Saccharomyces cerevisiae S288C: one gene and its partners. The protein of the gene in region 3 interacts with the protein of the main gene of each other region in a biochemical or structural test. Each region holds a gene or a part of one and is shown on either strand. Other genes may lie near its edges.

Region 1 (3,361 bases), on a different chromosome or scaffold from region 3:
GTGGTTATTCCCAAGTCATCCCAATGGACGAATTCAACTTACATTTGACTGGTGACATTCACGCCATTGGTGCGGCTAACAACCTACTTGCTGCCGCTATTGACACTAGAATGTTCCATGAGACCACTCAAAAGAACGACGCTACCTTCTACAACAGACTAGTGCCTAGAAAGAACGGAAAGAGAAAGTTTACTCCCTCCATGCAAAGAAGATTGAACAGACTGGGTATTCAAAAGACCAACCCCGATGATCTAACACCCGAAGAGATCAACAAATTCGCCAGATTGAACATTGACCCGGACACTATTACTATCAAGAGGGTGGTCGATATCAACGACAGAATGTTAAGACAAATCACCATTGGTCAAGCCCCTACCGAGAAGAACCACACAAGAGTTACTGGATTCGATATCACCGTTGCTTCTGAATTGATGGCTATTCTTGCTCTTTCAAAGGACTTGAGGGACATGAAGGAACGTATTGGAAGAGTCGTTGTTGCTGCTGACGTAAACAGGTCTCCAGTCACTGTTGAAGATGTGGGTTGTACCGGTGCCTTAACCGCTTTATTAAGAGACGCTATCAAGCCCAACTTGATGCAAACTTTAGAAGGTACTCCTGTCTTGGTCCATGCCGGCCCATTTGCCAACATCTCTATCGGTGCCTCTTCTGTTATTGCTGATCGCGTGGCTTTGAAATTGGTTGGTACCGAGCCAGAGGCAAAAACAGAAGCTGGTTATGTGGTTACTGAAGCAGGGTTCGATTTCACTATGGGTGGTGAAAGATTCTTCAACATCAAGTGCCGTTCCTCTGGATTGACACCTAATGCTGTGGTCTTGGTTGCTACTGTTAGGGCATTGAAGTCACACGGTGGTGCTCCAGATGTCAAACCTGGCCAACCTTTACCTTCCGCATACACTGAAGAGAATATCGAGTTTGTCGAAAAAGGTGCCGCTAACATGTGTAAACAAATTGCCAACATTAAGCAATTTGGCGTCCCCGTCGTTGTCGCAATTAACAAGTTTGAAACTGACACTGAAGGTGAAATAGCCGCCATTAGAAAAGCCGCTTTGGAAGCTGGTGCATTTGAAGCCGTAACCTCTAACCATTGGGCCGAAGGTGGTAAAGGTGCTATCGACTTGGCCAAGGCCGTCATCGAAGCTTCCAACCAACCAGTGGACTTCCATTTCCTATATGACGTTAACTCCTCCGTTGAAGACAAATTAACTACTATCGTTCAAAAGATGTACGGTGGTGCCGCAATCGATATCTTGCCTGAAGCACAACGCAAGATTGACATGTACAAGGAACAAGGTTTCGGTAACTTGCCAATTTGTATCGCCAAGACACAATACTCTTTATCCCACGATGCAACTTTGAAAGGTGTTCCAACCGGGTTCACTTTCCCCATCAGAGACGTCAGATTGTCTAATGGTGCTGGATACTTATACGCTCTTGCCGCCGAAATACAAACCATTCCTGGTTTGGCTACCTATGCTGGTTACATGGCCGTGGAAGTCGATGATGACGGTGAGATCGATGGCCTGTTCTAAGACAACTTAATTATATAGAATTTAATAAAGACAAATGCAAAAGTTTTTTTAAAGTATGGATGTATAATAATAATAACGATAATACGAACACTATTGGGACTAATAATGATTTATAGTTTTTTTTACACAGGGGATTTAACGTTCCGCGACCCTTTTTCCTTTAATTTAACCCCAGTTCCTTAACGTCGAAAATTTCCGATTCCGTTAAGGAGGAGAAAACCTAATTACCAAACGAAGCGGGGAGACGCATTAATGAGAACAATAAATGTATGAAACTTTTAGCAATCTAAATGATACTATACCAAGACAAGCGAACACTGGCTAGCACAATATTTGGGCGGAACGAAATAAAATAACGAAGATATACATAAGACACAAAGGAAAAAGCGTTCCATTGCATCTCTGAAGTGAATAATATAAAAAGTAGTAAAGCTAGAAATGTGTGATAAGTCAAAAACGGTATTGGACTACACGATAGAATTCTTGGATAAATATATACCTGAATGGTTTGAGACGGGAAATAAATGCCCCTTGTTCATTTTCTTCTCGGGCCCACAAGGCTCAGGCAAAAGTTTTACAAGTATCCAAATCTATAACCATTTGATGGAAAAATATGGGGGTGAAAAATCTATCGGTTACGCCTCAATTGATGATTTTTATTTAACTCACGAGGACCAATTGAAACTCAATGAGCAATTCAAGAACAATAAGCTGTTACAAGGACGTGGTTTACCAGGTACTCATGATATGAAATTGTTGCAAGAGGTATTGAACACCATCTTCAATAATAATGAACATCCGGATCAAGATACTGTCGTACTACCCAAGTACGATAAATCCCAATTTAAAGGAGAAGGGGACCGTTGCCCCACTGGTCAAAAAATCAAGCTACCAGTCGATATTTTTATCTTAGAAGGTTGGTTCCTCGGGTTCAACCCCATTTTGCAAGGAATTGAGAATAATGATCTTCTTACTGGGGACATGGTTGATGTCAATGCCAAGCTCTTCTTCTATAGCGACTTGTTGTGGCGCAACCCAGAAATCAAATCTTTAGGGATAGTATTCACCACCGATAACATTAACAATGTTTATGGCTGGAGACTACAACAGGAGCATGAACTAATATCAAAGGTCGGAAAGGGGATGACCGACGAACAAGTGCATGCTTTTGTGGATAGATACATGCCCTCCTATAAACTTTATTTGAACGACTTTGTCCGGAGTGAAAGTTTAGGTTCCATTGCTACATTGACGTTAGGAATCGACTCCAACAGGAATGTATATTCTACGAAAACGAGATGTATTGAATAGTGATGTTATGACCTTTTTTTTTACGCCTTTTTTTTTTTTTTTTTTTTTTTTAATTTATCTCACTTTTCCCTTCTATTTTATGTACTAACAGATAATTTTATAATGATTTCATGTATTTTTGGTTCAGAATTTTGACAAGGCAACTCTTGAATAATTGTCGTATGCAAAAAAAATTGTTTATCTGTTACATATCCATCATAAAACTTTTATAGAGCTTTTATTGTCCTTCTTATACAAATACCGTTCAGAGGCTGTCCGAGATTTAAGCGGTTTTGGAAAAATTACTGCTATTAATTAAGATTAAAAAGGAAAGGAAAATAGCAATGGGAGCTTATCGCATAAAAAAATGAACAATAATGTTGAAGAACTCCTACGGCGTATTCCCCTCTACAACAAATATGGTAAGGATTTTCCACAAGAAACAGTGACTAGGTTTCAGATGCCTGAATTTAAGTTACCAGCGCTACAACCAACAAGGGACTTATTATGCCCTTGGTACG
Region 2 (3,295 bases), on a different chromosome or scaffold from region 3:
TGAGGAAAAAGCAGCACCTGTTGTGAAAAAAGATAAATTTCTTTTTTTCATTTTTCTATCCTCAAAGGAAAATCTTTTCTGCGAAATTTCTAGCCGCTCTTCAGTTTCCGAAGTAAAGTCGCTGAGGGCGAAAAACAACTTTATTTGCCCACACGCTGTTATAGGCTTCCAGGGAGCAAAAGCGCAATTGGGAATAAGGTTTCCTCAATTGAATGGTTTGCTTCGCCTACAGCATTAACCAGAAGGTAATTTGATCTCTTGTATGTCCGCTAACAGATCTTGTCCATTAATTGTTTATTTTCTTCAGGTAGGCTGAGCCCACTTTGTAGTAGCTCCCTACCATTACTTTTGGCCTTGTAGTTATTGGCTTTGATTTTTTCTTTCTATGACAATCCCGTTGAGCAACCTTGCGAAGGGCTCTTTTTGAAAAAAAGGCGTGGGCAAGATCTCTGTATCCCTTTCTCGGTTTTTTCTTCCCATTCAACAGTAATTGAGTGTCGCTATTTTGACTTACCTCAGTGCCTATTATTAGCATAAGAAATGACCCACATAGTCTGAACTCTAAATAAACCCGAATTAGGAATCAAGTACATTTCATATCCGCTAGGTTTGACAATCCTCCGTAGATAACCTTAATGATACAATGGAAAGGTTATTTTTTATTATTGTCATAGAAGTTGTTACGTGAGCAATATAACACGACGTGAATAGTACGCATACATCTTGTTGTATCGGAAACTTAAAATGCTCATAGATTTTTTGCAGCTTATATTGGTTCTTGTCTCCGTAGGAAACAACGTAATGTAGCCGATAATTTTTTTTTTTTTCGCTCGTAGGCTCTTCAGTAGATACTACTACATAATCACTGTTGTACGCACCTACTATTCTTCCAGGTAACAGTACTACAAAGGGTCTGAGACTGTGCAGTAAACCGATACGCTACAAAATTTCCTTTTCAGCTTTTGCCTGTGATGCATAGCCGCAATGTCAGAGCAAATGGAAATGAAAAGGAGGGCCTTCAAGATTGAAAAAAAGCCCGATTGGAAAATCTTCCGACACGAGGTGCAGTCAAGTACTCATAAACGATACATGTGAAAATCAATCCATATACATCGCGTACGCTCCGTACCTAAAAGTATATCTGGGTTTTGCAGCAATCTTGAGAACAATCAGGTGAGAGATGCCGTTTCTCGGGGTTAAAGAATAAAATGACGGCGATCCCTCTTCTCAGGATCGGGACTATCTCATATAGGAAATATCCTTACGGGAGCATTCCACCTTGAGCTACGAGTGATTGCCATTTACGGTGGGAAATAAGGTTTTCAGTGGATACTGGTTTTGAGGGCAGATCAAGACGATCTGTTTTTTAACTTCCGCTTTAATTCTGCGTATTATTCTGTACAAGAAACTCAAACAACAACAAAAAACAAGATAAAGAATGATGCATCAGGTTCCCGACTTATGTCCCTAAAGTTTCATAAGTAAGAAACCCGCGCGAGAACGTCATTTGAACTACCTTACAGATCTGCAGGTGGCCCGGAAAGGGCAGTCGTGTGCCTTCATCATTATTGTTGTATTCTCTGTGCCTTCTTTTTTTCCTTACTTACTATTTTGCTATATATGTGACTACTACATGTTGATGTTTCAAAATACCTCTTTTATATGCCTGTCAGGGTTTGACAAGTTGAACGAAAGATACAATTGTTAGCTTTTTATTGTTCTATGGCTTCACAATAATTCCTCAAACATTAGTATACTTTTAGTTTTGAGCTTCTTAGTTATAACACAAGTTCATCACCTACCTTCGAAAAATAGCAGTAAACGCCACTAAAGTAAATTACATGAATTTTTCCCTTTCAAAGCAAAGTTCAGAAAAACAATCATCATATACAGACAAGTCAAGATCTCCTAATATAGGAATGTGTACAGTCAATTATAAATCGAACCTCCCCCTTCAAGTGTCCGCAGTTGATCAGCTGAGCACTGGTAAGGGGACTCAATTTTATGGCCACAATAGCTACAAAAATGAACGGGAATGTTATAATAGTACGAAAATAAACTTACCACCAATTTCATCCCTTTTGCCTAATTTTGAAAATAATACACCACCTAACGTAGATTCAAGGGTTCAATTCCCTCCACAGCAAGTTTATCAAAGCATGAATGTTGTACCCATTGTTAATGAGATCTACACCCCAATTTCCATGAACGCAACATCTGATCAATATCCTATCTACTATACGGAAAGTCAGCAACCAATACCACATAGCCAGTCTCCTCATTTGACCTCCTCTGCTCCCTTGATGATGCCAGTCATGGTCCCAACAGTATATAAACCATTGACACCATACGACAAAGAACCAATAACAATTGCCTCCGAACCTAACTTCACTGCAATATCAATGGCGAGTCACCCAAACGCTGCCTTAGAGCTATGCCACGATAGGCCAAAATCAGTCCCACCTGGGTATGGCGTACTTCCAACCATGCAGGAAGCCAGTAACGGCAGAACAAAAAGCGAACCTGGTGCCGTGTTGAACGGTTCAGCAACATTTTCTGATTGGAAAACTGACACCCGAATATCATCCACAAAGCTGAGAAAGCAGTGCCCAGTATGTGGAAAAATTTGTTCGAGGCCCTCAACGCTGAAGACACATTACTTAATTCATACGGGAGATACTCCTTTCAAATGTACTTGGGAGGGTTGCACAAAATCCTTCAATGTGAAAAGCAATATGCTGAGACATTTGAAAAGCCATGAAAGGAAAAGAAACAAAGTCTTAAACACTACATAGAAACAATAGGAACGGAAAGCTTTATTGCAATGGAATTTTTAGAACTCATATTCAAAGGTAAGGCAAAACTATGTATAGACTCTAATAGAATGTTTTACGGACTTTAGAAGCAAGGGAATAAAACTAATTAAGCGCAAGTCACCTTCTTTGTTAGTGTTCTTCCCAGTTTTATATAACGGGAGTGCGTCTTCAAGTTTACTTGGACGCACAAAGACGTTTTTATGTTTATGTATTATTTCGTAAATATATGAGAGGCAAAGAAGATGGATGATGATATAATATGCAAGGGAAAATGCGTAGTTGAGGTATTGGGAAAGTTCCATGTGATCACTTGATGCAAGCCGTGCATTATTTATCAGCAGATCTATTTTCACTTTTCAATTTTTTTCAGGTTGACCCTTCAATATTTTTTTACCTCTTTTTCTAGATATATTTGCAGGGTACTCTCGATGTCCGCAGTTCGTCAAAATGATTATGATTGCCAGTAAGGCCAAGTGAAT
Region 3 (3,866 bases):
TTCAGTTTTTGCTGACGTTGTAAGTGGGAATTCGACGGAGAATGTTTTATCATCGCAAACGTTCTCACTTGTGCATGAACTTTTTGTTGTTTTTGATGTAGTGGCGTTCTTTCCCTTTTTATTCAATATCTTTTTCGATATATAGTGTAAATTTTTGGTGTCACTGTCTAGAGAAAGGAAAGTCTTTCTTGGTGTCTTTTCCCAATTTACAGATACTCTATAATTTACTGTCGTAACCGCAAAAGAATCCACTGAATCTAATTTTGACCATCTTATTGTTCGTTTGAAGGAAAAGCATAAAAATTTGCCGGTAAATTTTCCAATTTTCATACCGTCACCATGAAAAACTGCTCTTTTATCGTCAATAAAAACATTTGGAACATTAACGTTAGTTCTCAAATACAGAATTGCCTCGCCGGTTTTTTCATCCTTTACGCTCTTATATATGAGATCGTGGAAATGCTTGACAAACAAATTATTTAAATTTGCATGAGGTTCTGCAAATAGCAACATGTTGTTTTTAATCCTTCCAAGAACTTTTTTCATTAGTGCAAAATAGGGAGTGAAGACAGCATGGAAAGCGCTTTTTAACGTTTCATTCGTAAAGTTCAAACTGTTCACGGAACATTTTCCAGGCCAGTGGAATCGTACCCAATAAACAGTTGGACATAGAACTAGGACTGGCATACACTCTTCCATTTGGAGAATGGATATTAGTATAATGTAAATATAATTGATTTCATCTGGATGTCTCTCAAAGTCAGCAACGCTGATTCGTTGGATGTATTTGTTTGAACCTGCCAACAGCCTGAAGTACTCTAATTTTTGTTTGTATGTAGCGAAATTAGTAAATTTAGCCAATCTTAGCATGCCTCTAGAAAATGATATATTGATGCTTTCGAAGCCTGGTAATCTAGAGTATTCAATGAACATGATTGAAAAAGCACTAGGCCAGGTGATTATACCGCAGACTTACGGTAATATAAGGGCAAGAGAACTAAAAAAATCAATAATGTAGGCTTATATTACAGTTCTTTGTGAGATATTCCTTTCTAGAGCGTTTTCTGTGTCCACTCAATTAATATATACACTTCCCGTATCCTAACATTTACTGACACAATGATAGGCACAACGCGCGAAGGAGCGGTGGGGCTTTGAACAATAAGGACCCTTACATAGAAAAGGCGTTAGAACAACAATATGGTTAGGCCATAGAAACCTCGGTGTCTTTTAGGAACTTCACAGAATAGAACATACTGCAGTAGATATAAATACACCACTGGGGCAATGCAGCCTGGTTTTTTCCAAATATACAAAACACTTCATGATACTTACTAATGGTCGTTGATACAGTACTCATTGTATCATTGCAGGAGAGTTAGGTTGGCTTTTTTGCATTTATTTATTTATTCATTTACTCAATTGACAGGCAATGTCAATGATTTTTTGGAAGAAATTTGCCTAATGTTTTTACTCAGTTACTCACCGCTCCCTGGATAACATAAGGTTCATTTGCTTCCGTACTGATTTTTTTTGGCAGTCTATAAGCCACTATGTACTTCCCAATGCTCCTGCAGGCATATTCTTTTTCAATTTTCATGTTTTTACTTCCAGTCGTTGAGCATCATATGGATTCTATGTTGATGAGGCTTTTCAGAACGTGCTGTACTTTCGGAGAAGCGCCCGCTTTAACGCAGCGCGAAGAGAATAATTGAGGCTTATCTTAGAACCCTGCCCCCTTTGAAGCCACCCATTGCTGTTTCTCTTGGTAATCCTAATAATATAAAACAATACGATATTGTTCAAGATCAGCAGAACTTCAATTCGTTGATCAATCTTTTCGTCACCTTTTCTTCTATCACATCGCCAATATAAATATAGACACCAAAAATGCCCAAGGAGTCAGAGGTCATAAATTCTGAATTTCATGTAGATGTCCAAGATCCAGAGCGTCTAAACGGCCACCCTGTAGCAAAATTTATCAATAAATTAAGCGGTCAACCTGAATCTTACGTCAACAGGACTAATTATATTTTCGGTCGAACACTGGGTGCCGGTTCCTTCGGTGTTGTGAGACAAGCCAGAAAGTTGTCCACAAATGAAGATGTTGCTATAAAGATCTTATTGAAGAAGGCATTGCAGGGAAACAATGTGCAATTACAGATGCTGTACGAAGAGCTGTCCATTCTTCAAAAATTGAGTCATCCGAACATTGTGTCATTCAAGGATTGGTTTGAATCGAAGGATAAGTTCTATATTGTCACTCAGCTGGCAACAGGAGGTGAATTATTTGATAGAATTCTGTCTAGAGGGAAGTTCACAGAAGTGGATGCTGTTGAAATCATAGTTCAGATTCTTGGTGCCGTGGAGTATATGCATTCCAAGAATGTTGTTCATAGGGATTTGAAACCTGAGAACGTTTTGTATGTTGATAAGTCAGAAAATTCGCCTCTGGTAATTGCGGACTTCGGTATAGCTAAACAATTGAAGGGGGAGGAGGATTTGATATACAAAGCAGCCGGATCGTTGGGTTATGTGGCACCAGAAGTCCTCACACAAGATGGACATGGTAAGCCTTGTGATATATGGTCCATTGGTGTGATCACATATACTTTACTGTGCGGTTATTCTCCTTTTATTGCCGAAAGCGTTGAAGGATTCATGGAGGAATGTACAGCTTCGAGATACCCGGTAACCTTCCATATGCCATATTGGGATAACATATCTATTGATGTTAAGCGTTTCATCTTGAAGGCATTGAGATTGAATCCAGCTGACAGACCAACTGCTACGGAATTGCTGGACGATCCATGGATTACTTCAAAGAGAGTTGAAACTAGTAATATTTTACCAGACGTTAAGAAAGGGTTTTCTTTGCGTAAGAAATTACGTGACGCTATTGAAATTGTGAAGCTTAATAATAGAATTAAGAGGTTAAGAAATATGTATTCATTAGGGGACGATGGCGATAACGATATAGAAGAGAATTCCCTCAATGAAAGTCTTCTGGACGGCGTCACACATTCGTTGGATGATTTACGTCTGCAATCTCAGAAGAAAGGGGGAGAACTAACAGAAGAGCAAATGAAATTGAAGTCTGCATTAACAAAGGATGCCTTTGTTCAAATTGTCAAAGCTGCAACAAAGAATAAACATAAAGTTTTGGCTGGTGAAGAGGAAGACGATAGCAAGAAAACACTGCATGATGATCGGGAGTCGAAGTCAGAAGACTAAATTACGGACTTGAATTCGTGTACATAAATTCGTATATAATATTTAATGTGTAAAGCTAGTGACGATTTTATGTAACCAGCAGCTACACTTCATGGCATTCAAACTATAGACCTTTTCTGGCATTACGCCTCAAGCTTCTTTTTTCCCGAGAATTATCTTGTAGTTGCCTAACGGGTTCTGAGAAGATCTCTATATCATCACAATTCCTATCACAATCTTTAGCGCCATTGTGTAATTCTCTTTTCCCAAAAGATTTATCTGTCCTATCTTCACCTTTTCTTGTCAATGTATTCTCCTCACTCAGATATTCTGAATCATAGTCATCGCTAACGTCAATGTCAACTTCATTTTCACTTTCCTCGGAAACGTCACCATTTACATCACTCGAGTAATGCACCGTGGTTCTTCTCTGAGAGCTTGTTCGCAAATGACGTCCTTCAGTACTGCCTGTAGGGGCAGCAGTTATGCGCTGAATAGTCTCATTTATGAATATACTGAAAATTTTCAAAAACTCAATTAGATTGTCTATACCCTTTTTTGTATCATCGGTGTCATTTTCAGTAAGTGATGATAAACTTTCCAAATACTCAATGAAGTTGCTCAAAGAATTCGAGTCTCCTGCAACTTCAAAC

The links. Proteins that work in one complex are often made in the same cells at the same time.
Region 1: the proteins of CMK2 (region 3) and TDA10 form a complex in vitro, tested with the Saccharomyces cerevisiae proteins (one large-scale study listed by BioGRID).
Region 2: of the proteins of CMK2 (region 3) and CMR3, one has a biochemical effect on the other in vitro, tested with the Saccharomyces cerevisiae proteins (one large-scale study listed by BioGRID).

What each region holds. Positions count from the first base shown.
Region 1 is NC_001139.9:907,225-910,585, forward strand, and holds TDA10 (putative ATP-dependent kinase), read left to right. Parts: upstream 1-1,988; coding exon 1,989-2,861; downstream 2,862-3,361. Other genes in the region: trifunctional formate-tetrahydrofolate ligase/methenyltetrahydrofolate cyclohydrolase/methylenetetrahydrofolate dehydrogenase ADE3, read left to right, coding at 1-1,550; YGR204C-A (uncharacterized protein), read right to left, coding at 1,837-1,950; ubiquitin-binding ESCRT-I subunit protein MVB12, read left to right, coding at 3,208-3,361. UniProt on the Saccharomyces cerevisiae protein: ATP-dependent kinase whose specificity is not yet known.
Region 2 is NC_001148.4:584,132-587,426, reverse strand, and holds CMR3 (Cmr3p), read left to right. Parts: upstream 1-1,841; coding exon 1,842-2,795; downstream 2,796-3,295. Other genes in the region: YPR014C (uncharacterized protein), read left to right, coding at 1-238. UniProt on the Saccharomyces cerevisiae protein: Probable transcription factor involved in the regulation of the transcription of genes involved in cell rescue and defense, as well as cell cycle and DNA processing.
Region 3 is NC_001147.6:294,145-298,010, reverse strand, and holds CMK2 (calmodulin-dependent protein kinase CMK2), read left to right. Parts: upstream 1-1,890; coding exon 1,891-3,234; downstream 3,235-3,866. Other genes in the region: IRC10 (Irc10p), read right to left, coding at 1-933; ESC8 (Esc8p), read right to left, coding at 3,338-3,866.